Macaca mulatta: one gene and its partners. The protein of the gene in region 1 binds, or shares a complex with, the protein of each later gene. Links are inferred from orthologs where the notes say so. Each region holds a gene or a part of one and is shown on either strand. Other genes may lie near its edges.

Region 1 (7,066 bases):
TTTAAACAGCCAGACTCTCCAGGGTTGCTCTTCCTCATTCAGCCTGTGCTGATGGGTCAGGCCTGGGTTGGATACCAGCGATGGATACATAGGAAAGTGGTAGATGATCAAGTCCTGGCAGTCTCAGAATCCACAATTCCAGCAAAAGAAAATCAAAGAGGAAATCACGATAGTGTGACAGCTGCTGGGTGGAGGGGAGTACATGGGGCTATGAAAATACATTGGAAGAGAAAATGGAAAATGAAAGACTGTGTAAGCCTTTGCTAGGATGAGGGGCAGATGGACGCAAGTGGAAGACCTAGAGGTGTGAAAGAGCATCCCATGTCTGAGAAATTACCAGAAACACTGAGTAGCTGGAGCAGAGGTGCTGCAGGGGCTGTAGGGCACCGATGACAATCAGGCATGTCCCAGTGGACCCCACAATGGAGACTGGTTGATCCTGGAGACGTGGAAAGCTCCCAAAGGGGTTTCACCAGGGACTGACATGATCAATGTGTTTTGTAGAAAAATTTGCCTGACTGCAGTGCAGAGAATGGAATGAGGGAGAAAGCCTGATTGCAGAGAAACCCCTCAGGGAGCTGCAGCAATGAGCCTGGTGAGAGGATGAGGTCTGAACTCAGGCAGTGGCAGAGGGGAGAGACAGGAGCAGCTGAGGGAAGAGAGATTTTAGGCCAGGCGCAGTGGCTCACAGACGTAATTTCAGCACTTCGGGAAGCTGAGGCCAAAGGATTACTTGAGCCCAGGAGTTGAAAATCATCCTGGGCAACATAGTGAGATCCCATCTTTAAAGAAAAAATTAGTTGAGTGCGGTGGTGCATGCCTGTGGTCCCAGCTACTAGGGAGACAGGTGGCCTCATTGCTGGAGCATGGGAAGTCGAGGCTACAGTGAGCTGAGACTGCACCACTGCACTCTAGCCTAGGCAATAGAGCGAGACAGTGAGACTCTGTCTCCAAAAAAGAAAAGAGGGAAATTCTAGAGGTAGAGGCAACAGGCAACAGGCATATTGACAGCATTGAGAGGGTCATTTGGGTGACCCCAGATCTCTGCCTTCTACAACAGAAAGAATGTGATCCCTTGTGAATTAGGTGCCCATAAGACAGAGCAGGAAATATTTCCCTAGGCAGGTGGACAGTGGGATCTGGTGCCAGAGTGGAGTTGTGAGCTGGAAAGAGGATGATGGTATTCATCCTAACAAGTGGTTTCAGAGGACCATGGAGTGGAGATCAGCTAGGGAGTATGAGCAGAGTTAAAAACAAAGAGACCCGGAAGGGCGCAGTGACTCACGCCTGTAATCCCAGCACTTTGGGAGGCTGAGGTGGGCAGATCACGAGGTCGCGAGTTTGAGACCAGCCTGACCAACATGGTGAAACCCCATTTCTACTAAAAACACAAAAAAATTAGCTGGGTATGGCGCATGACTGTAATCCCACCTGCTCAGGAGGCTGAAGCTGGAGAATCACTTGAACCCGGGAGGCAGAGGTTGTAGTGAGCCAAGATCGCGCCACTGCACTCCAGCCTGGGCGACAGAGCGAGACTCTGTCTCAAAAAAAAAAAAAAAAAAAAAAAAAACAGACAACAGACCCAGAGGAACTCTGAGAGACAGGAACAATGAAAGAACAGACAGAAAAGAGGAAACTTTAGAGAAGACCCCGAGTATGGTAGCAGAAAACTAGAGACAGTAGATAGGAGACACTTTGAGAATGAAATAGTGCCTGCATATTCCTGAAAGGCCAAGCAAAATAGGCTAAGAAATAGCTCCCGGAGAATCTCTCCAATGTGTCTTGTCAGGACTAATGTTAGGGAAATACAGGGCTTTAACACAGTAACTGGTGAAGGGAGCTGACAAATAAATTCAAAGAAAACATATTGGACCAGGTGAGGTGGCTCATGCCTGAAATCTCGGCACTTTGGCAGGCTGAGGCCAGGAGTTGGAGAACAGACTGGACAACATAGCAAGACCCTGTCTCTACAAAAGTGAAAAATAAAGAAAACATATTAATACATAGCACTTCCATGTATAAGAGAAAGAAAAATGTGACAAAGAACAAAAGATTTTCTTTTACACATTCTTACCTTCCCTAACTTGAAATTAAATATGCAAACCTTGGATTTAAAGATGAGATAGCAAAATACAGTTTTCTGATTGGCAAAGACTGGACTATACGGCTGATTAAAAGACCTAGAAAGAAAACTCAGCACATTATTCTGGCTTGAGATTTGTTCAGGACAGCATGATGCCCTATGCTTATATCAATATTTACTGTAAAATAATTTACACATACCCTCCCAGTGTGCAAAGGAGAAGGTTTTCCAAAGGTAATACATAAGTACAACAGCAGAAAAATCATGTCTTATGCCTTATGGGAAGCCGAATTGAGATCTTCTGTCTTCATGTAATTCTTTAGTTAAACCCTATCAGTACAAAAGGCTTCTTGCTAGTATTACAAAGATAGCACAGTACTCATAAGATTTTTTTTTATATAATTGCTTTATAAGCTTATGCTGTCCTAAGAAATAGTAATAACCAGCAATGTATGAAAATGATACCAAAAGGAATATTGAATATTAAAGTCTATTACTGTCTATTGCAGCTGTTTCCTTACTTAAATCATATTCATTCACACAAATTAATATGGAGAAGTGAATAAGACACAGAGATATTTCAGGGGGATTCCAATTTCATGTCTCTTACAGGACAAGAGAGAATAAAATCAGTGCTTTTATCAAAACATTTTCAGGCTGGTACAGGTTTACTTTGTCACTGTTAGGGGGGAACAACAGGGATAACCTGAATCAGATAAAAGTAGGACACTGATATTCAGTCCATTTCTGCATTTTAAGTCCTCCTACAGCATTCAATGTTTTCTGTGAAGGAAAACGTTGAGAAGGTGTTAAAAATTTTAGTTGGTCTCTAAAAGACGAAGGTGATATGTCGTCCAGTAGAATGCATGCCATCTGTCTTATTCATTGCTATGTCCCCAGGATCTAACACATTTTCTGATATACATAAGATGCTCAATAAATATCTATGGAATGAAAACTGTCCTGTGGAATGGGAAAGTATTCAGGTGGCCAAAAGAAAATAGAGTGATATGTTTTGTAAACTTAAGTTGAGACGTTTTCATATAGTGCTTTGTGGGACTTAAGTTAAAGGATCAGCTAATGATTTTGCAATGAGTAAAAACTATTATTCCATTAGTCCAGGAGGGAGGGAAGAGAGGAAAATATCAGTCCAGTATCCTACTGTGAGGGATTAGCTTTTATATTTATCTCACACAAATGAATGTTTTTATGTCCCACTCTTCTCCATTCTGAGATTTTTTAGTTAAGGTTATGTTGTTCTCTTGATATGGAAATTAATTTGTTGATTACTGTTAACTCATTCTACATTTGGCAAATACAAATAACAAAATAATTCAGTGGTCAGTGATCTTTCAGAATACGTTACCTCTATATTGACTACCAGCTGAGCTCAAGAGTATATTTTCTTTGTAAAATATGCTTGTATCATAGGTTCAGATGAGTGGACACTGCAACCTGAAAAGTTTGCTTTATATGTTTAGTAAACAGAAGTTTAAAAATTAAGAAAAACACTTAAAAAATTTAGGTATAATTTTCAGTTTGTATTATTTGTTAATCATTTTATCTTAGTTGATCTTAAAATGTGGGAATCTGAACACTGATTAAGAAAAACTTCACATTTTCAACAGCTCATTTTGCACATGGGCTAGTCTGACCTATTTTCTACAGATGGCACATAATTTATAATGGATCCATGAAATTTAGTTTTTTTCAAGCTCCAATATTATCAAGTCTACATATAATTTATTTTTAACTTTCAAATGTCCTATTATACAACAAATATGTTTTTCCATATTTGGGAAAATAGATGATCCTGTCCTTCAAAAGAGGATGCTCTGTGTTCTCCTCGCTCCTAATTCCAAACTGCAACATACATTTAGAACAAGCAGAGTATAATGCAATACAGATTACTGAAAAAGGAGGCATTCAAAGAGAACAGACTCAATCCCATAGAGAAAGAGAAAATGGGGACTGAAGAAAGAGAGGGAGGTATACGCTATTGATAATCTCACAAGAAAACACCATCATCTAAGAAAGTCAGACTATGGGCCATGTGCTATGGTGCATGCCTGTAATCCCAGGACTTTGGCAGACTGAGGCAGGAGGATCAATTGAGCCCAAAAGATGGAGGTGCATTGAGCTGTGACCACAACACTGAACTGCAGCGTGGTCAACACAGTGAGATCCTGTCTTTAAAAAAAAAAAAGAAAGGATGGGAGAAAGAAAGACTGTTCCCTACTAGGGACTTTGTAAGAGGCATCCCATTTTAGATAAACAAATGAATAAGCAACTGTTTCTCTGCATGATTCACCTCCCAGGTATAACTCTGCCAAATAGAAGAGAAACTGTTGGCTCTGAGAAGGAAGATGTGACCCTGATTTCAAGAAAAAATTCAGCTAAAAGGAATTAAGATCCCAGTGTTTCCTGCTGAGTTGGCAATAGAAGTATTAATATCCACTTAGGAATATGTTGATCACAAGAATTAAGAACACAAATCACAATCCACCTACAAAATAACAAAACCACAACATGCAAAGATAATTTATGGTCTTTTGAGGTAAGGTCCTGGAACCTAACACCCTTTGTCCAAAATTAGGACAGAAATGTAGTTTTATTACAATCTCAGATGCTAGCACTTTTTTGCAATTTTTACCTCACTGCACTTGCTTATTCTCCTTGCAACAATAAGCTGGATCATTCCTCGTTTATTGCCTTCAGTAGACATAGACCTTCTTAGGGTTTCCATGGCATCTTGGTTTGTCTTGCCCAACAGGGATTCTCCATTTACTGCTATCAGTTGATCATTCACCCGAAGCCTTCCATCCTGGGAAGAAAACAGGTAAAAATAAGTGCTATTAAATAGACTGCTATAAAAGAAGTAGCTTTTCCTTTAGTTAATAAATAAAATAAAAAACAAAGCCAAAAAAAAAAAAAAAGTGGAGAGCTTTAATCCTAATGGATTATGCCCAATTGAACACTGGCATAATAACATCTAAGCAGCTATTGTAGCCTGTGTCTATTTCAATCATTTATACATTTGTAAATCAAGTCATTATCATAATCTGTTTACCAAAATAGCATACTAATTCAAAGGACACAAAGTGATTACTTTCTTGTTTCCAGAAACACCCATAGAGGTTATTTAGAAACCCAGACATGTAAAAGCTCAAGGCTATTAGACAGTTGCAGAGAACTGTCCCCTTAACAAATGGCCAGGAAATTTTCTCTAGGCTGAGAAATAGAGTAAGTGACCCACAAACAAGGGAGGGGAGGGGAAAGATTAATGTCTACTCTACGCCCATTCTGTGTTAGGACCTATGCCAAGTCTTTGCATAGATTAACTTCATTTAACTAGCATGTCTATGGGTTGTATGTTCTGTGAGAGAAAAAATGAAGAGTTGAAGTTATGGACTCCATCCCCACGTGACACATCACTGAGACATCTCCTAGTTGTTTGATTGTGAATGTCGGTACCATGAAGAAATGAGAAAACTCCTGTTAACTGCGTATGTTTTCAAAATAGGAACAGGGTTGAAATTAAAAGTTTCAATAGGAATATGTTTTCAAAATAGGAACAATGTTGAAATTAAAAGGCATACGCATGGTAAAGTTGACACTCACTTTAGATGCTGCTCCTCCATTAATAATGGACTTGACAAAGATTCCCAAATCTGCGTGGTTCTCTTTTGACCGGTTACCTTTGACACTGACACCAAGGCCGGCAGATCCCGAATCATTAAGTGGGACTTCAAACGTCAGAAATTCTCTCGTGCCATCAGGTGTGAGAACAATATCCTCATCTTCTGCTTTCTAATAGGGAACAAAATTGCACAGCACATTATATTCCAATGTTTCTTTCTCAAAGTTATTTTTAAAGACTGCTAATGAGCAGTTCCTTAATCATAAGAGGCAAAATATTTCCACCAAGTTTCCATAGCAAGATCCATGAAAACAGTACATCTGCACCCACTCCAGAAGATTTCTGGAACCAGCTGTTAATATTTGTATGTAGCAATTATTCAATATTGAACCAAACCTAAACCAGATTTGAGAAAGTTAGGGGGAAAATGTAGTGGAAGGACTAAAGACTAGGAGAGTTCTAGAGTTCGGGATTTTTTTGGTCTCATTATATACTCTAAACGACAAGAAAAACAGTAACAACAGGAGTAAAAATAAATAAATATAATTCATTTGTCTCCCTTTTTATAAGGAAATTCTGAAGTTATCAATACATTTAATGTTCACTAATGGTGTTTATTCACAAAAAAATACCAAATCCTGATCATATAAAATCAGCAGAAAACGGTATCTGGGTTCAGACAGCCTCTAACTAATTGCAACGTCAACATCTGTGAGACCAAGTAGAGATATACAACATCACAGAAAACTTTTCCACAACATTGTAGCATACATAATAGAGCTGGTAAATATTATTCAGGTAATCTTGTTTAATTAGTTATATATCAGATTTAATTTCATAGTCACCAAGTACAGAAGACAAGGAAGACTTTTAAAATAAAAAACATTTAGGATATACGAATTCTTGTTCACCTCCCTTAAAACAGAGGAAGAAATGAAAGCTTAATGTATAACTGAATAAACTGCATTAAGATGACAGTCTATCATTAAGAAAGGCTACACTCCTGAAGAGGAAGCACTCAGCCTTCTGAGGTCCTCCTCCTCAGCAATCCCACTCATGGCCAAGATTTCCACCATCTCTATACTGGTCATGTCCAAATCAGTAAGGCCAGGATGCTTGTTTAAGCACAAATTCTTGCTCCAACCACATAACAGACATGTGGCACAGGCTCTTCAAGTAAAAACTGAATGGTACATCTAGTTCTAAAACCTATTTCTCCTCCTCTTTTCCCACTTTTGAAATATTTATCCAGCAACTGTTTAATCACTCAAGTTTGACTTATCAAATTATAATTAAAGAATAAGAAACATAATGGTACACAGATATGTAGTAATATATACTTT
Region 2 (7,551 bases), on another chromosome or scaffold:
ACACCCATGCCTGCTGCCTGACCTGGCGTCCAACAGTCCGACCACCAGGAACTCCAGAGTGGGAGTCAGCCATCCCTTCACCTTTGACCCCTTCCTGCCCATGCCCCCGCCCCCACACAGTCCTGTCCCCAGGTGGAAGCCAGTTTCCTGCCAATCTGGAGGCCAGGTGGGTGGCTCCAGTCAAACCCCAGGACTTGGGAAGTGTCGGGCCACCACTTCCAACCCTATCCCAATCCTGAATCAAACAGCTGCTCTGTGCCCCTCGGCAGGGGTGTCCAGGACCCAGCACCCAGTAGCCAGCTGGGCAGCCAGGGAGAGACTCCTGTGTCCCTGCGGGGCCCAGCACCAAGCCCTGAGCTACCGCCCGCCCTGGTCTCTGAGCTTTGCACACAGAACCTCCCTGAACACAAAAGTTGTCTGAGCTGGGCCAGGCGAGGTGGCTCACGCCTTTAATCCCAGTGCTTTGGGAGGCCGAGGCGGGCAAATTACGAGGTCAGGAGTTCAAGACCAGCCTGGCCAACAAAGTGAAACCCCATCTCTACTGAAACTACAAAAGATTAGCTGGGTGTGGTAGCAGGCGTCTATAGTCCTAGCTACTCGGGAGGCTGAGGTAGGAGAATCACTTGAACCTGGGAGGTGAAGGATGCAGTGAGCTAAGACCACACCACTGCAGCCTGGGTAACAGAGCAAGACACTGTCTCAAAAAAAAAAAAAAAAAAAAAAAAAAAAAAGTCTGAGCTGGAAAAGGGAAGAGCCAGCACCAGTGTTTGCGACACCAGAAGAATGGGCGTCTGAGACTCGGTCTGGGAGCCTGGCCCAGGTCACCTGGGACTCCCTGAAAACACAGGTGTCTGGGGACCCCTCAGGCCCACAGGGAGCCGGGGGGGGGGAGGCGAGGATTGGATCTCAAGTGTGCTCAGAGGGCCCTGGGGGGACAGGCAAGGATGATGGGGTGGCCATGCCCCATGGGGGTGACTGAAGAGCTCCTCCTTTTTCTAAAGACTTGTCTTCCACGTGTCCACACTCAGCTACCTCCACGAACAGCAGCGTCTCACCCCAGGGACGGAGTTTCTAGGGCTTCCAATAACCCAGTACTCATCCTGGCAACCACTTTCTGGAACTGCGTCATTGCCCTAAGGCCTGAGTGTCCCACCCCACAGCCAGTCCCCTCAGAGAGGCACCGGGTGCCACGAGGGACGAGGAGCCAGGCTGGGGAGAAGGGCAGTTCACACTCTCCAGTAGAGAGGAGGAGGACCTGGGAGGGGACAGAGGAGAGAAGGAATGGTAGGAACAGGGAAGACCCAGAGGGGAGACAGGCCCTGGAACAGGGAGGAAGGTGAAGGAAGAGGTGTGGCAGGGAAGGGAGAGAGGGGAGAGCGGGAAGAGGAGGGAAAACAACAGGGAAGGAGGGAGGAAGAGGAAGGGGTGGGGAGAGAGGGGAGACAGTCCCGGAAGGGAGGGAAGAGGAAGGGGTGGGAGCCTGGTCTCTCCAGCCCAGGAAACCAGAGTCACCGGGTGGAATTACACCCACCCCACCACCAAAGTGCTCCCAGGGGCCAAAGCAGGACAGAGAGAGGACGGGGCGGCCCAGAACTCCAGGGCACTGCCCCTGAGCCTTGGTCCCGGAAATTGGGCACCGGAATGCAGGAGGGTCTGGGCCCCTGCAGCCCTGCCGGTGTGGACCTCCCTCTTGCAGGACACCCCTGACCTCCACACCATCACCTGTTGCCTAGTTTATTGGCTCCAGGCTGGGAAGGAGACAGCAAGCCCAGGTCCTTGGATAAGTCCAATAGCCAGGACCTCAATCACACCAAGTTTTAACCGGCTGACTTCCAGGTCAAAAGACATGGCTGCCCTACCCCTTTGGGTGGGGTTGGATGGTCAGTTCCTCAGAATTCCCTTTCTTCTGGTTTCTGGCACCAAACCCGACCCCACTGCACCCCGAGGGTTCCAGGTGCTTGCCAGAGGGGGGCTGCAGAGGCCTCAACCTTCCCAAAGAAGAGACAACAAACCCGGGGCCAAGCAGCCCCAGATGGCTGACCCGAGACCCCAAGACAAGGTTCGCAAGGAGCTGAACCCGCTCAGACTCGCAGGGCACCACAGAGACCCCTGGGGTACTGTCCTGACAGGACATGGCCCAGGGAAAATGTCACCCACGTAACCCTGCCAGCCGTCCCTGCCTCTGGGGCTCAGGTTGCCACCGCGGGAGCTGAGGCGCACCGGGGCAGGAGCAGCTTTTCAAGATCCCAAGGACCACCCAGTGCAAGCCCGGAGCCCGCAGTCCCCTCCCCTCCCTCTCCGCAGCAGCGGCCACCTTCACCGGAGCGGAGGTCCGAGTTCGGGGCTCCTGGGGACGCAGGCGGGTGGAAGAACAAACCCACGGGCCCTCCCTTCCCCACCACCCACACTTCGGGGGGCAGCGACCCCTCCGCTGTGCCTGTGAGCCCGGCCACCTGGTGCAGCCCCCGCCACCCCCACCAGCGCTGCCCCGGACCCCTCGGCTCCGGCCCCTGACCGCGCCCCCTCCCACAGCCAGACAGAGGCTTCCAGGGGGGCGGGTGCGACGCAAGCCCCGGGGCCAGTCTCGGCCGCGCCGTGGCCTCCAGAAACCCCTGTCCCCACCCGACCACCCGGAGCCCTGCCGGGGGCTGCAGTGGAGCCACCGCGCCCGCGCCCCGGGTCTCCGGACTTTGCCTAAACCGAGACCCCCGGCCGGGTAAACGGGGAGAACATTTAGGAAACGCTGATTTTAAGAAACCCGCCAGGAGTTTTTACAACTTGATGAAAACTTTCAATCCTTACAGGTTTGCGGCCGGAACGTCCCCGCCCAACTTTCCAGCGAAAACGTCAACCACAGTGACCGGGCCGAGGAGCGCGCGGCGCGGGGCCGACCCCAGGGAAACCCGGTCCCGGGGAAGGAGCCGGCGCTGCCCACCAGGTGTCCGCGGGTGACGCTCTCGGGCGGGGACCGAGGACCTCCCGCGACAGCCCCGGGCCCGCAGCGACCTCGCCGCCCTCTCCCTCCCTCCCTCCAGCGCAGGAGCCCCGACGGCTGTGCCCTCCCCGCCCTCCCCGCCTCACCCGCCGCCGCTCCCCGCCCTCCCAGCCGCTCACCCTCCGTAATGCGCCTTGAGGCGGACGCGGCCGCCGCTCCCGTCCATCTTGGGGCTGGTCCTGCTGGGCATGGCGCGCTCCGCCGGCCGCCGTCAGCGCTGCGCCCCGGGAGCTCCGGCCATGGAGCGGGGCGGTGGCGCCAGGTGGGGCGGCGGCGGAACGCGGAAGGCACCGCTCAGGACCGACGGCTCCGGCCCGACCCGGCCAACTCCGCGGAACTCCACGGAACTCCCACGGCGCGCGGGGCGGCAGCTGGGGGCGCGCAGGGCGGGACCGTCCGACGGGGGCGGGGGCGGGGGGCGGGGGGCGGGGGGGGCGGTGTCCGAACATGGCGGACCGAGGTGGAGCCGGCGGCCAATCCGCGGGGCGGGCGGTCCCGGGGCGGGCGGTGGCACCTGCGGCCAATGAGGGCGAGGCGGGGCCACCACCTGGGCCAATCCTCGAGGGACCCCCGGCAGCGGCCCAATGGCGAGGCGCGGGCGGGGCTACCTGTCGGGCGGGGCGCGACGCACCTGCGCCAATGGGACCGCGCGCGGCGCGGCTCTGCCCGGCAACCGGAGGGGCCCCGGCCTGCGGCACCGAGCTGCGGACCCGGGAACTCGCTGGAAACGCAAGTTCTCGGCCCTCGCCCAGACCCTCCGAATCGAAACTCCTGCGGCGCGCGCCCTGCCAGCCCGAGGACTCCGCCGTCCAGGGGTCTCCTGACATCTCCCACTTGCAGGACTGAAGCTGCAAGGAGCGGAGAACCCGGCCAGGGTCAGGGACGGGAGGGTCCAGACTCGGGTTCTCTGGGCCCCAGCCCCCGCTTCGCCCCCATCGAATCCAAGGTCCCCTGTAGGGAAGGGCCGTCCACACTCGTGAGTGCAACCGCTCACTCCGCCCAGGTCAAGGACGCGGCATTGCCCCGAGTCGCCCATGACCTTCATTTCTGAAGCCACAGCCTCTTGGGCCTTACTTGGGGGCGGGGGGGTTGATCTGGACAATCGCCCTCCAGGCCATTCCACCGCTGCCCAGCTCCCTGCCTCCTGGGCTCCTCCCCTGAAAATGCGGTCGAGTTTTCCCTGATCAGCCCATCCCTTGTTGTCTGTATCCACTGAAGCCCAGACCTGCTGCCTGCAAGACCTCACCCAAGCACCAGGTGGACACCCAGACCCAGCTCCTGACCTGGACCCCTCTCCCCTGAGAGTGGACCTGCTCAGGCCACGCCCTCACACCCCTCACCCAGACACAGCCACCAGGACTTCAACCACGTGCTTTCATCACGCAGGTGGGGTGCCTGGCGCCTCCTTGATGCCAGGCCTTGGGGAGACCTGTGGCCACAGAACTCATGTTCTCCCTAGAGGTGGACAGCGTGCCCCTCTCCTATGCAGAAGCTGTCGTTCTTTCTTCTTAAACACCGTTTGCACCCTCCCTCCACCCACTGACCCATCTCTGCCTCTCTCTACAGCAAAGCTTCTGCCAAGCCGCCCTGCTCCCCCTCTACCTCCCCTGCCACCACCCACTTCCACATTTTAAATACAAGGGTCGGTTCTCAGACGTTTTCTTTTCTTTTTTTTTCTCTTTTATTTGAGACGGAGTTTTGCTCTTGTTGCCCAGGCTGAGTGCAATGGCATGATGTCGTCTCACTGCAACCTCCGCCTCTCGGGCTCAAGCGATTCTTCTGCCTCAGTCTCCCAAGTAGCTGGGATTACAGACGTCCACCACCACCCCAGCTAATTTTTGTATTTTTAGTAGAGACGGGGTTTCTCTATATTGGCCAGGCTGGTCTCCAACTCCTGACCTCAGGTGATCCACCTGCCTCGGCCTCCCAAAGTGCTGGCATTATAGGCATGAGCCACCGCGCCTGGCCTCAGACGTTTTCTTGGCCTTTAGCATCAGAGCCCTCCTGGGAAGGCTCACACATCCCCCGCCCCCGGTTCCAGCTCCCCAAATCTCCCATCCTTTGCCCTCCTGGTCTGCAGCTTTTAAAAGTGTGGAGCCCTGGCCTCAGCCTTTGGCCCACTTCGAATCCCCAGCTCAGATGGTCCCCCCGAGCTCCCAAACAAGGTTCACCCAGCCCCAGGCATCCTCTTAATGAGCCTCTCAGCTGACCTCTTCCCCAACTCGGTGGTGCCCACTCCATCTTTCTGGGTCATCAAAGTCCCCCAGTGGTTCCCATCGCTCCCAGAGGGAAAGCCAGCTCCGCTGCCCCCGCCTCCGGGCCTCCTGGCTGCCCCGGCCTCTGCCTTTGCATGGTCACTCCCTCTTCCGGGAGCACCGTCCTACAGAGATCTGCTGGACTGGCACCCACATTCCCTGGAGTCTCTAGCATACTTAATGCCCGTTTCAGCAATCTACTCCTCACCCCCATCTCCATGGGGCGACCCCCTCTGTATCCCTCACACAGGCACAAAGCCCCATGCCCATCTGCTGGGTGTGAAGGGGGACAGAGAGTAGAGGGTGAGGGGGCAGCCTGGCAGTGATTCCCAGATTCCCAGTGATGAGTGGGAACCTGTGTCTGCAGCAGCTCCAGAGCCAGGCACCCGTCGGCCCAGCTCCCCCACGCTGGGCCCCATGGCCAGGGCTGTGGCCTCATCTGGAGTCCAGCCTGGCAACATGGCCTGGGCACTTCCTGATGGGCAGGAAAGAGCAGGGTTTTGCCTTAGTGGGGCGGTGCCTGGAAGGGGCCACTGGACACCTGCAGGACTTCCTGGCTGGTGTTCTGATCCAAGGAGGCAGCAAGGCCTGGTCCTGGTCCCAGCGCCCCTGCTGGGACAGGCCCTTGGCGCTGGCCTCCCCGGGGAGATCCGTGCTGCCAGGCGGGAGCCTCCGTCCTGGAAGCCAGTTGCAGGGTCGTGGCAGTGCCCCAGTGCCTGGGAGATCCATGCTGCCAGGCAGGAGCCTCCATCCTGAAAGCCAGTCCCAGGGTCACGGCAGTACCCCAGTCCCAGCGAGGGAAGGTGGGGGGTGGGGCTTTATTATCTGTGGGGTTGGGAGGGAGAGGGCGGCCTCAGTGGACAGTCCACCCCAGTGTCGGACTTTGTTCAGCCCTGATGCCGGTGGAGGGGGTGGGGGCAGATGCAGGTCCCAAAAGGCTCCAGCAGAGGGCTGCGGGCACAGGGGCTGCCCAAAACGTCCCGAAAACCTCCCCCCGTACCTGCTCTGGCCTCCCCTCGGGAGGCAGAGGCCTCCACTAATGAGATCTGCAAAACAAAGGCCTGACCCGCCCAGGCCCTGGGACCCGCCTCTGGGCAGATGGGGCAGGTCACAGGGAGGTTCCCAGGTCCTCTGCCCTGAGCCTGCACCCCTGAGAGTTCCCTGAGGGCAGAGGGCGCTTCCTGAGGCACGGATAGACTCGCTGACTGGCGGTGGTGTCACTGTGTTGCCCGGCGACAGATAGAGGGTGTTTGCTCTGGAATCTGCCAACGACTCCCATCCAGATCCTGGCCGAGGGCTGGGCCCTGTTAGACCAGGTCCCCACAGCCTCTCCAGGCACCTGGCACACGGGGAAGGAGTGAGTGACTTGGGTAAGGACCCCTCGAGAATGCTGGAGCCAGGCAGCCTCCTAAGACTGTGGGTGGGGACAGAGTCATTGCCCGCTGAGCTCGGCACACCGAGGAGGCACAGCCCTGGAATCTTCCAAGGACTTGCCCTGGGGCCTCCGGGGCAGGTGGGGTGTGGAGGTGACCCTTGGAGTGGGCGGGGCAGGCTCTGAGAAAGGCTGTTGGGTGGCCAAAGGCCAGGCTTTCCACCTCGCCGGTTTCTGTAGCTCCCAAATTTTTCTTAAAGTCCTCATATACTTTCATAATCATAAACACCTATTATTTTTTAAATAAAAAAAATAAAACGGGTTATAAAAGTCACACTGGCTTTTTAGAAAACTGGAGCAACACAGAAAGGTGGTGTAGGGAGAGGTGAAGCCTCTTCCCAAAACGCCAGCTGAGCAGCGAGAGCCCCGGCGGTGAAGCAGATAGCCTTCCCTCTCCCCGTGCCTGGGACCGCAGGTGGAGGTGCTGGGTGACCGCCGGGGCATGGGGTAGGGAGCTGACTGGCAGAGGGCAGTGTGGGCACGGGGTCTGGCTGAGGGTGGCCTCTGACCCCCGGGCCAAGGTGGCTCTGTGCGGCTGCCAGGCCTACCCTGTGATTTTCCTTAGAAGAGCCCTTTGATGATACCATCGAGTGATGTTGAGACGTTTTAGAAGAGAGGCAGTTTACGCTCAGTGTGATTCGTCAGACATCTGGGAGGGGTTGGCTGGGGCCCATGGGGTCCCCATCACCACGCCCCCAGCATGGAGGCCTCCCTCATCAGCTTCATAAACTGCATTTGTGCCGGCCCAATGCTTGGAACTGCCCAGAAAGGTGCCCGGCAGGAGCGGGCATGTTACAGAGCCCATGGGGCCCGGGTGGGTCTTCCTGCCAGATGTGAGGCTGCCCTGTGGGGTCCCGCGACCCCCATCA
Region 3 (7,797 bases), on another chromosome or scaffold:
ACCTCAGGTGAGCCCTATTCTATGTTCCCTGGAGGTGAGTCCGCCCCTCAGCACAGCACAGCACAGCCAGCTGGGCAAAACGGTTTTTCCCTTGCCCGTAACTGAGCACACGGGCTCATCAAGCCCTCTGCCATCAGACCATCACCTGCCTTGGAACACAAAACACTCGAGTCTCCGCGCCAGTCCCTGCAACCCAGGGAGCAGTGGGCTGACTGCCGGTTCTAACGAGTGCACAGTTTCAAGTTCACATTTGGGGAGCACTCAATTATTACCAGGTGCTAGGGATAAGCCCCCAAATAGGACACAATCCCACTGGGAAAGGAGAGGAAGGTTGTGAATGAGGTCTGTATAAAGTGCCCTGGGAGCTCAGAAGAGGGAGTGGAGCACAGAGAGAATGAGATCTGAGTGGCTTTGACAGGGCTCTGTGCGCAGGTGAGGAAGGAAAGAGAAGGAAACACACAAGGTGGAACAGCATGGGCAAAGTCCTGAGGCATGAGGCTGAAAGGCTTCACCACGACCGCGCCTGCCGAAGCTGATGGCATTGTTTTCCTGCCCCATCCCTGGGTGTCTCACGCTGTGGGGAGGAAGGAAAGGGAATTCTCATTTGGGGAACCCCTGCTGTGTCCCGACTCAACTCCAGCAGGGTGGGAAAGCTCCCTGGGTAAGGAACTGGGCTCTGGAAACAGAAGCGTGACTTGGAATTTCCACCCCACCACTGACAAACTCTGATCTCAGAAAGCTTTTCCCTCCCAGGCTCTGTTTTCCCATCTATATAATGGGCCTAACAGTAGTACCGCCCCCCGCCCAGGGTTGTCCTGAGGTTTGAATGAGGAGTCCCAAGCAGATCTTAGTGCATTAGCAGCACACACAAAGGCTGTGGTCCTCAAATGTAACAACACAAACATGTTGCCTGGGGAGCTACAAACACATAAGTCCTGGGATTCTATCACCAGCCATTCTGACCCCATCAGCCTGGAGTGGGGTCCAAGGAATCTGCATATTCAATCCCCCTCTCCCAGGATGGATGACTTGAAGACCACGCTTTGAGAAACAGCCACTCGGTAAGGCTTGCTGGTCCTGTCATTTATTTTCATTGTCTCGTTTCATCTTCCAGACAGCCTGCAAAGTCTGAACAGGTAACTCATTTCCCAGGTGAGGAAAGAGGCTCAGAGAGGCAAGTCAGCTGCCCAGGTCATACAGGCAGCAACGGGTCATGCTAGGATCCAAACCTGGGTCTGCAACCCTCACACCTGTACTTCCCCAAGCAGCGCTCCCTGCCGGGTCAGCCTTTATCCTGGCAGAGGCCGGGTGGTCGTCCCGGGCCTTGTCGTCCCACCCCCACTGCCTCCACTGTTGCTTCCTCCTCTGCTGCTAATCTGGTCTCACAGACCATCCCATTTCCTGCCGGCCCACCGCCGCCTTCCTTGCTCCCAATGTCACTTCCTGGCCTTGTGCCCTCCTGTTACCTCCTTTGCCTCCAGAGAGGTTGGAGCAGAGGCTGGGCAGTGCCAGAAATCAAGCATGAAATCCTCAGGGGGACCAAGGAGGCACCAGCCTCCCTCCTATAGTCTCAACTACCTCTGCTATGGTGACCCCCATGCCCACCCCTGGGGCCCACAGCTCATGCCTGGCTCACCATTCCTTTGTTTATGGACCACAGGAATAGTAGTTTTCAGGGCAGAGTCAACTTCGTCATGGACTGGGAGTACAAAGGGAATTGGCAGATGGTGCCAGGACAGGCCCTATCCCCATCTGCCACCAGCCCCAAGTCTGAGACCCAGCAGGACGCAATGCGCAGGCCAGTGTGTCCCCATGGGCATGTAGACCATGAGGACAGGCGGTCAACACGGGCGGGGGTGAGGGTGATGTGGACTGGTACACAGCAGACAGAGCACTGTCCTGGCTCCTCTGCGGCCAGCCCACCCTCTGGGCAGGAGAAAGCAGAGTTAATCCCGTTGGAGAAGGAAGTGCTGAGCTGTTGTTTGTTCATTCCACAATCGGCCATTGAATGTGCTGGATCCCACTCAGAATCCCGCCCCAAGGACTGTACTCCTTCCAGCAGGTCGCTCCTCATGCTCCAGCATCATCTGTCTTCCCGTCTGCTGGATCCTCCCTGGGGATATGAGCGTGCTGCCATAGTTTAAAAAAATAAAAGAAAAAACCCTCCCACTTCTCTGCTCCCATTCACTGTAAGAGTTGGGGAAGGAGCTACAGTCACACATGACTCCACGTCCCCATCCCCCTTTCTCTAGCTCCTCCAATCTGTCTCGTCTACCTTTTCCTGTTTAACCTGTTCTGGTCACAGTCATTGACGACCTCATCTTCCAAATCCAAAGTGAAGTCTCAGCCCTCATGCTCCCCAGGCTGACCCACTGACCACTCCCCTGCCCTCCTCCTCTGCCCTCTCCTGGCATTCCTCCTTCATCGTGGGACCCTCTTCTAATGGATCCTCAAATGTCAGAGGGTCCGAGGCCTCCCTCCCGCCAAGCTCATCCATGCCCATGGCCTCAGATGCCAGCCATAAGCTCATGGGTTCCAAACCTCGACTCCAGGCTGGACTCACCCGTCTCCCGCCCCAACCTGACACCTCTACCTGGGTATCTAATGAGCATCTCAAACTCAACCTGCCTGAGATAGAGGAATCACTATCCCCTCCTCCTCCAAAAATATCCTTCCATCTCACTCCCCATCTCCTGCTCTGATTTACTAAACAGCCCTGGGTCCTGTCTTTCTCAGGGTCTCTGCTTGCCCAGTTATATAATAAAACAAGTTTGGGACTTCCCAAACATTCACCCATGGAAAAACAGAAGCAAGTCTTCAAAGGACAGATTCCCAGGGTCTGCCCTGGGAGATTCCAAATCAGTTGATCTGGGTCGAGCCCAGTCCTCTGTAGTTTTGAGAAGCTCCTCCTATGTCTCTCCTGGTCAGCAGAATCTCGGCCCCTCCCTTTCCCCAGCCTCTTGGTTCTGCTGGGCTCTGATCCAGCCTCAGCGTCACTGTCTTCCACGCCCCTCTTTGACTCTCGTTTATGTCAAAAGCCTTGTGAGGATGAGGCTGTGATTATCCCCATTTTACAGATGAGGAAACTGTGGCTCCAGGATGACACGACTGGCCCAAGGTCACATCAGAAGCAGAGCTGGGTCACTTGACTCCACCCAATATCCCTAAATGAAAATGTCCCCTACAGACCAAGGCTGGTGCCTTAGAGCTGGAGTCCACGCCCACCCTGACCGGGAGAAGCCAACCTGGTCCTCCAGAGCCAAGAGCTGCTGTCCTTTCCCATCTCCTGAAGCCTCCCTATCACCTTTAAAGTCCATTCCCACAAAGACATCATGGGGTCACCACAGAAAATCAAATTCTGAGGCTAGGCTGACCCCAACTAGATTTTTGGCTCTGTTATACCCCAGCTGGGTGGACAAGCACCTTAAACCCACTGAGCCTCAGCTTCCCAGGCTATAAAATGGGGGTGATGACACCTGCCTGCAGCATCCCAAGGCGGGTTAAATGTGATGCTGCACCCACGGGTCCCCACAGCCAGGCTCTTGGCAGGTGCTGGGCTCAGAGTCCCAGAGCTGAGGCCGGGCATTGGGGTTGAAGTGGGGTGCCCCAGGCGGGGTCCAGGGCCAGCCCTCTGTGGAGACAGCCATCCGGGGCTGAGGCGGCCGCCCACCGGGGGACCTGCCTATCTGCAGCCAGCCCAGCCCTCACAAAGGAACAATAACAGGAAACCATCCCGGGGGGAAGTGGGCCAGGGCCAGCTGGAAAACCTGAAGGGGAGGCAGCCAGACCTCCCTCGCCAGCGGGGTGTGGCTCCCCTCCAGAGACGGTTGGCTGACGGGCTCCACAGAGCTCCACTCACGCTCAGCCCTGGACGGACAGGCAGTCCAACGGAACAGAAACATCCCTCAGCCCACAGGCACGGTGAGTGGGGGCTCCCACACTCCCCTCCACCCCAGACCCGCCACCCTGCGCCCGAGGTGGGAGGGTCCTCAGCTTCCCCATCTGTAGAATGGGCATCGTCCCGCTCCCAGGACAGAGAGGCTCCTCGAGGGCATGCTGGGCCTCCTTGAGGCTCAGAGCAGGGCCGGGGAAGGTGCACCCAGAGGTGGTGCCAAGGGCACAAATGGGCATCTTGGGGCTGAAGGGGGAAGGGCAAGGGCTCGGCTCTCCCACAACTGCACTCTCCAACTCAAAAAGTCCCACTGGCCTTCCTCCGTGCCAGGCTCAGAGAAGGCAGGATTCTGCCCCAGTTGCCCAGCATGCCGGGGCAGAGGACTGGCACCCAGGCCTTGGCCTCCCCTCCGTGCCCTTACCCTTACTGGAGAGGATTTACGAAGTCCTGACACCACCCTCCTCAGCCCCCCACCCATACGCCACTAAAGCTCTATGCTGGGATCTGGGGAGGGGCCCTGAAAGGGGAGCTCAGAGCCTCGGCCCCTCTCTATCAAGCCAGCGCTCCCATTTCAGGATAGGCAAGCTGAGCACTGGCTCTGGGCACCTGCGGTCCTGCCTTTCCCTGCCCAAACACCATCGGGGCCCGCTATGTGTCTAGGGAGCTGTAGTCTGGACAGTGGCCCACCATTCCTCCCCCAGGCACCCTTTCAAAGGCTAGGGCCCAAGAGCCCCAAGGCCCTCACAGCTCAGGAAGTGCCCTGGAAGCAGGAGGTCTGGGCCAAGAGCCTGGCCTGGAGACAACTGCCCTGGGTACAGATCCCAGCTCTGCCATTTGCTCTGGGGTGACCTTGGGAAGGTTACCCAGAGTTTCCAAACCACAGTGGGGAACAAGCGATGATGTGGAGTTCATTATTTTACCATTAACAACTCCACAAGGTAGATATATTATTTCTTTATATTTCAGTGAAAGCAACTGAGCTTTGGAAACATATGAGCCGGTGTGGGGATTTGAACCAGGATCTCATACTCCAAAGCCCAGGCTCTTTCCCCAGATCTCAAGTGCCTCGTCTGTGAAATGCAGAAACAGTGTTTCCTTAGTCAATTAAGTGAGGTGATCTAAATCCCTGGTGCTGGGAATGGCACATAACATGGGATCTTTAAGGAATAGTGGCTGGATTTTCCTGCTAGCCCAGAGCCGATCCTGACTGTGAACGTCATAAAGGTTTTGACCCTTGAGGTATGGTAACACCCCATCAGGGAGGGGTCCTCAGGTGCCCAGCAGGTACCAGGAAGGGGGTGCAAGTGAGAGGACATTGCGAGCACCTCTGGGCACCTGCTCCATGCCAGGCTCCCTCCCCAGCGTGGACGTTTCTCATGTGTGATGGGCAGATAGGATTCTGACCAGAGAGGAAGGCCATTCCCAGGGAGGCAGCTCTGAGGAGTTGAGGGTGTACCTGGAAGGCTCTTTCACCACAGGCCACTGGAGCCCGGGCCAGGAGCCCTGGTCCATCCTGAGGTGGTGGGGAGCCTGGGACTCTCCTCTGCCTGCCCTGGAGGGCAGCGAGTATCCTCCAAGGGGCCCAAGAGCTGCTGAGTCCCTGAGCGGCCCTACCAATTTCAGCTTACGGTGATGAGGGGTAGGGGAGGTGTATACTGGCTTGGAAGGGGTTAAGCTGCCTGCCTGCAGCCTCAGCCTGAGCTATTGTGTTGCTAAACAAGGGCCGGACATGAAGGCAGGAAGCCAGAGGGGGCCACACATTTTCTGCAAAGTTGGATGATTCACTGCTGACTCGGGGACACCCAGGGGACACAGCGGACACCGTCCCAGGAAAAATCTTGGGCCTTTTTGCCCATATGGACCCATGCCTGTTCCCTGCATCCTCTCTCTGCACCCCCTCAGTCACGCTGAAGCAACTAGAATTCCCATTTGACAGATGGGACCACCAAGGCTGAGGGAAGCTGTGCAGCCAGGCCAAGGTCACACAACCAACACAAGGTAGAAGCAGGGTGTGAGTGCGGTCCCTTCTGACCCACAATCCATGCCACACTCCACAGTGAAGCTCAGAGAGGGGAAAAGCAGAGCACTCCAGGCCACAGAGGCAGGCACAGGGACAAGCCAGGAGCCCAGTGACACCAGGGGAAGGAATGTTCTAGGAGGCAGGTTCTGCCCTCAGGAGCTTCACCTCTGGCTGAGGAGATACTAAAAAGTCTGTCCTGATCCAGGTTCGAGCTGGTGTTAAGTGGGTAAATCATGAAGGGCTTGCTGGAGGAAGAGTGGGAATCCCAGGTGCTAGGAGGCCTTGGGCAGCCCCTCTGCAGCCTGGGCCTCAGTCTTCCCATCTCTTGAGAGTAGGGGATGCTCCCTAAACTAATTCAGGGACTTCCAGATTGTCTGCCTTGGACCACAGCAAAACAGTCAGATCCTGGCAGGTCCAGATACTGGAAGGACGAGGAAGTGGGACCCGGGGGCAGGCCGGGCGGGTGGTGAATGAGATTTCCTTCTGCAGAGGAACAGAAAGAGTAGGAGGTGGGCCCAGAGTAGAGCCAGGAAATGAGGTCAAGTGTAAGTCGGCCAGTCAAAACCACACCCACCAGGCTGGAGAGGGCGGGTAGATAGGAGTCAAGACACCCACACCCTTACTGGGCACCTACTGTGTGCCAGGCTTTACACTCATGATCTCATTTAATCGTCCTCCCCAGGGAGGCGGCTACTGTTGCCTCCATTACAGATAAGGAAGCTGAGGCTCAGCAAGCAAGAGATGAACCCAAGGTCACACAGCTCCCGAGCAGTTGGGCAGGTTCAAACAGGCAGGTGCAAGGGCCTCATTCTGTTCCCCACACTGCCCTCATAGTCCCAGACAAAGTCAGGAAGCCCAAAGGAGGCTGGAAGCCTCCTTAGCATGGGAAGTTTGGAGCTGTCCCTTTAGAAGGCAAGGGGATAGACTAGATGACCCGGAGCCCAGAGATTCCAGCACAAATTTGTTTCACATCACAAAATAGGTCTGGCCAACTGGTACCCTCTACCTTCATCCAGTGGGAATGAACTTGAACTCAGCCCCTGAATCCTCAACACAGTCTATGAGGATCCTCAATACAGTCTTTGGGTGATTGATTTGTGATGTCTGCCATAGGTGTGGAAAGGGGCATGTGGCAAGCTGAGTTCTGTTCTGCCAGCACTGTCTTAAGAGGTGCCCTGCTCAGGGGTGTTTGCATACTCACTGGGGACTCTTTTTTTTTTTTTTTTTTTTTTTTTTTTTTTTTGAGACAGAGTTCTGCTCCTGTTGTCCAGGCTGGAGTGCAATCGCGCGATCTCGGCTCACTGCAACCTCTGCCTCCCAGATTCAAGCGATTCTCCTGCTTCAATCTCCCAAGTAGCTAGGATTACAGGCATGTGCTACCATGCCCAGCTAATTTTGTATTTTTAGTAGAGATGGTGTTTCACCATGTTGGCCAGGCTGGTTTTGAACTCCTGACCTCAGGTGATCCACTGGCCTTGGCCTCCCAAAGTGCTGGGATTTACAGGTGTGAGCCACCACGCCCAGCCAGGGACTCTTAAGAAGGATAATTTTGTTGTCCCTAAAGGATCAAAACCCTATCGGTGGTCTTTTGGGCAGTCCCATGGCAGCCCATCCCATGGGCCATCAGAGGAGCTATCTGGGAGCAAGGAGGAGCTTCTTTGAGTTATACCAACAATGGTACCTACTCTGACCACCCTACGTGTTGTCTGAAAATACACAGATTTGTTTCTAAATCCTGTGAGTGGGGAGGGAGTGGGTGGCAAGACCAGAACTGGAGCTGGCACCAGGCTGACAGGCAGCACGTCCAGGTCTGGGGCGTTGAGTTCATGCACCCAGGTATGGCATGAAGTGAACTCTCAGGCCCAGAACCTGCCTGGGCAGAGAT

What was found. The genes of interacting proteins can lie anywhere in the genome.
Region 2: PARD3 (region 1) and PRKCZ share a complex: the UniProt entries of both Homo sapiens proteins name them as parts of the par polarity complex. The link is inferred for Macaca mulatta from reciprocal best matches to the Homo sapiens genes PARD3 and PRKCZ.
Region 3: the proteins of PARD3 (region 1) and CDH5 are in contact, whole or in part, in an NMR structure (PDB 2KOH), measured with the Mus musculus proteins. The link is inferred for Macaca mulatta from reciprocal best matches to the Homo sapiens genes PARD3 and CDH5. Residues at the interface, in NP_296369.2 of Mus musculus: Ala599, Gly600, Leu601, Gly602, Val603, Ser604, Val605, Lys606, Gly607, Arg609, Lys611, Lys622, Ile625, Asn655, Gln656, Met659, Arg663, Met666; in NP_033998.2 of Mus musculus: Tyr774, Gly775, Asp777, Gln779, Glu780, Glu781, Leu782, Ile783, Ile784.

What each region holds. Positions count from the first base shown.
Region 1 is NC_133414.1:35,742,024-35,749,089, forward strand, and holds part of PARD3 (partitioning defective 3 homolog), read right to left. Parts: intron 5,894-7,066; coding exon 5,705-5,893; intron 4,908-5,704; coding exon 4,737-4,907; intron 1-4,736. UniProt on the Homo sapiens protein: Adapter protein involved in asymmetrical cell division and cell polarization processes. Seems to play a central role in the formation of epithelial tight junctions. Targets the phosphatase PTEN to cell junctions.
Region 2 is NC_133406.1:238,641,688-238,649,238, forward strand, and holds the start of PRKCZ (protein kinase C zeta type), read right to left. Parts: upstream 3,945-7,551; 5' UTR 3,186-3,944; coding exon 3,115-3,185; intron 3,033-3,114; exon of another isoform or gene 2,803-3,032; intron 1-2,802. UniProt on the Homo sapiens protein: Calcium- and diacylglycerol-independent serine/threonine-protein kinase that functions in phosphatidylinositol 3-kinase (PI3K) pathway and mitogen-activated protein (MAP) kinase cascade, and is involved in NF-kappa-B activation, mitogenic signaling, cell proliferation, cell polarity, inflammatory response and maintenance of long-term potentiation (LTP).
Region 3 is NC_133425.1:61,888,803-61,896,599, forward strand, and holds the start of CDH5 (cadherin-5), read left to right. Parts: upstream 1-3,853; 5' UTR 3,854-3,921; intron 3,922-7,490; exon of another isoform or gene 7,491-7,797. UniProt on the Homo sapiens protein: Cadherins are calcium-dependent cell adhesion proteins. They preferentially interact with themselves in a homophilic manner in connecting cells; cadherins may thus contribute to the sorting of heterogeneous cell types.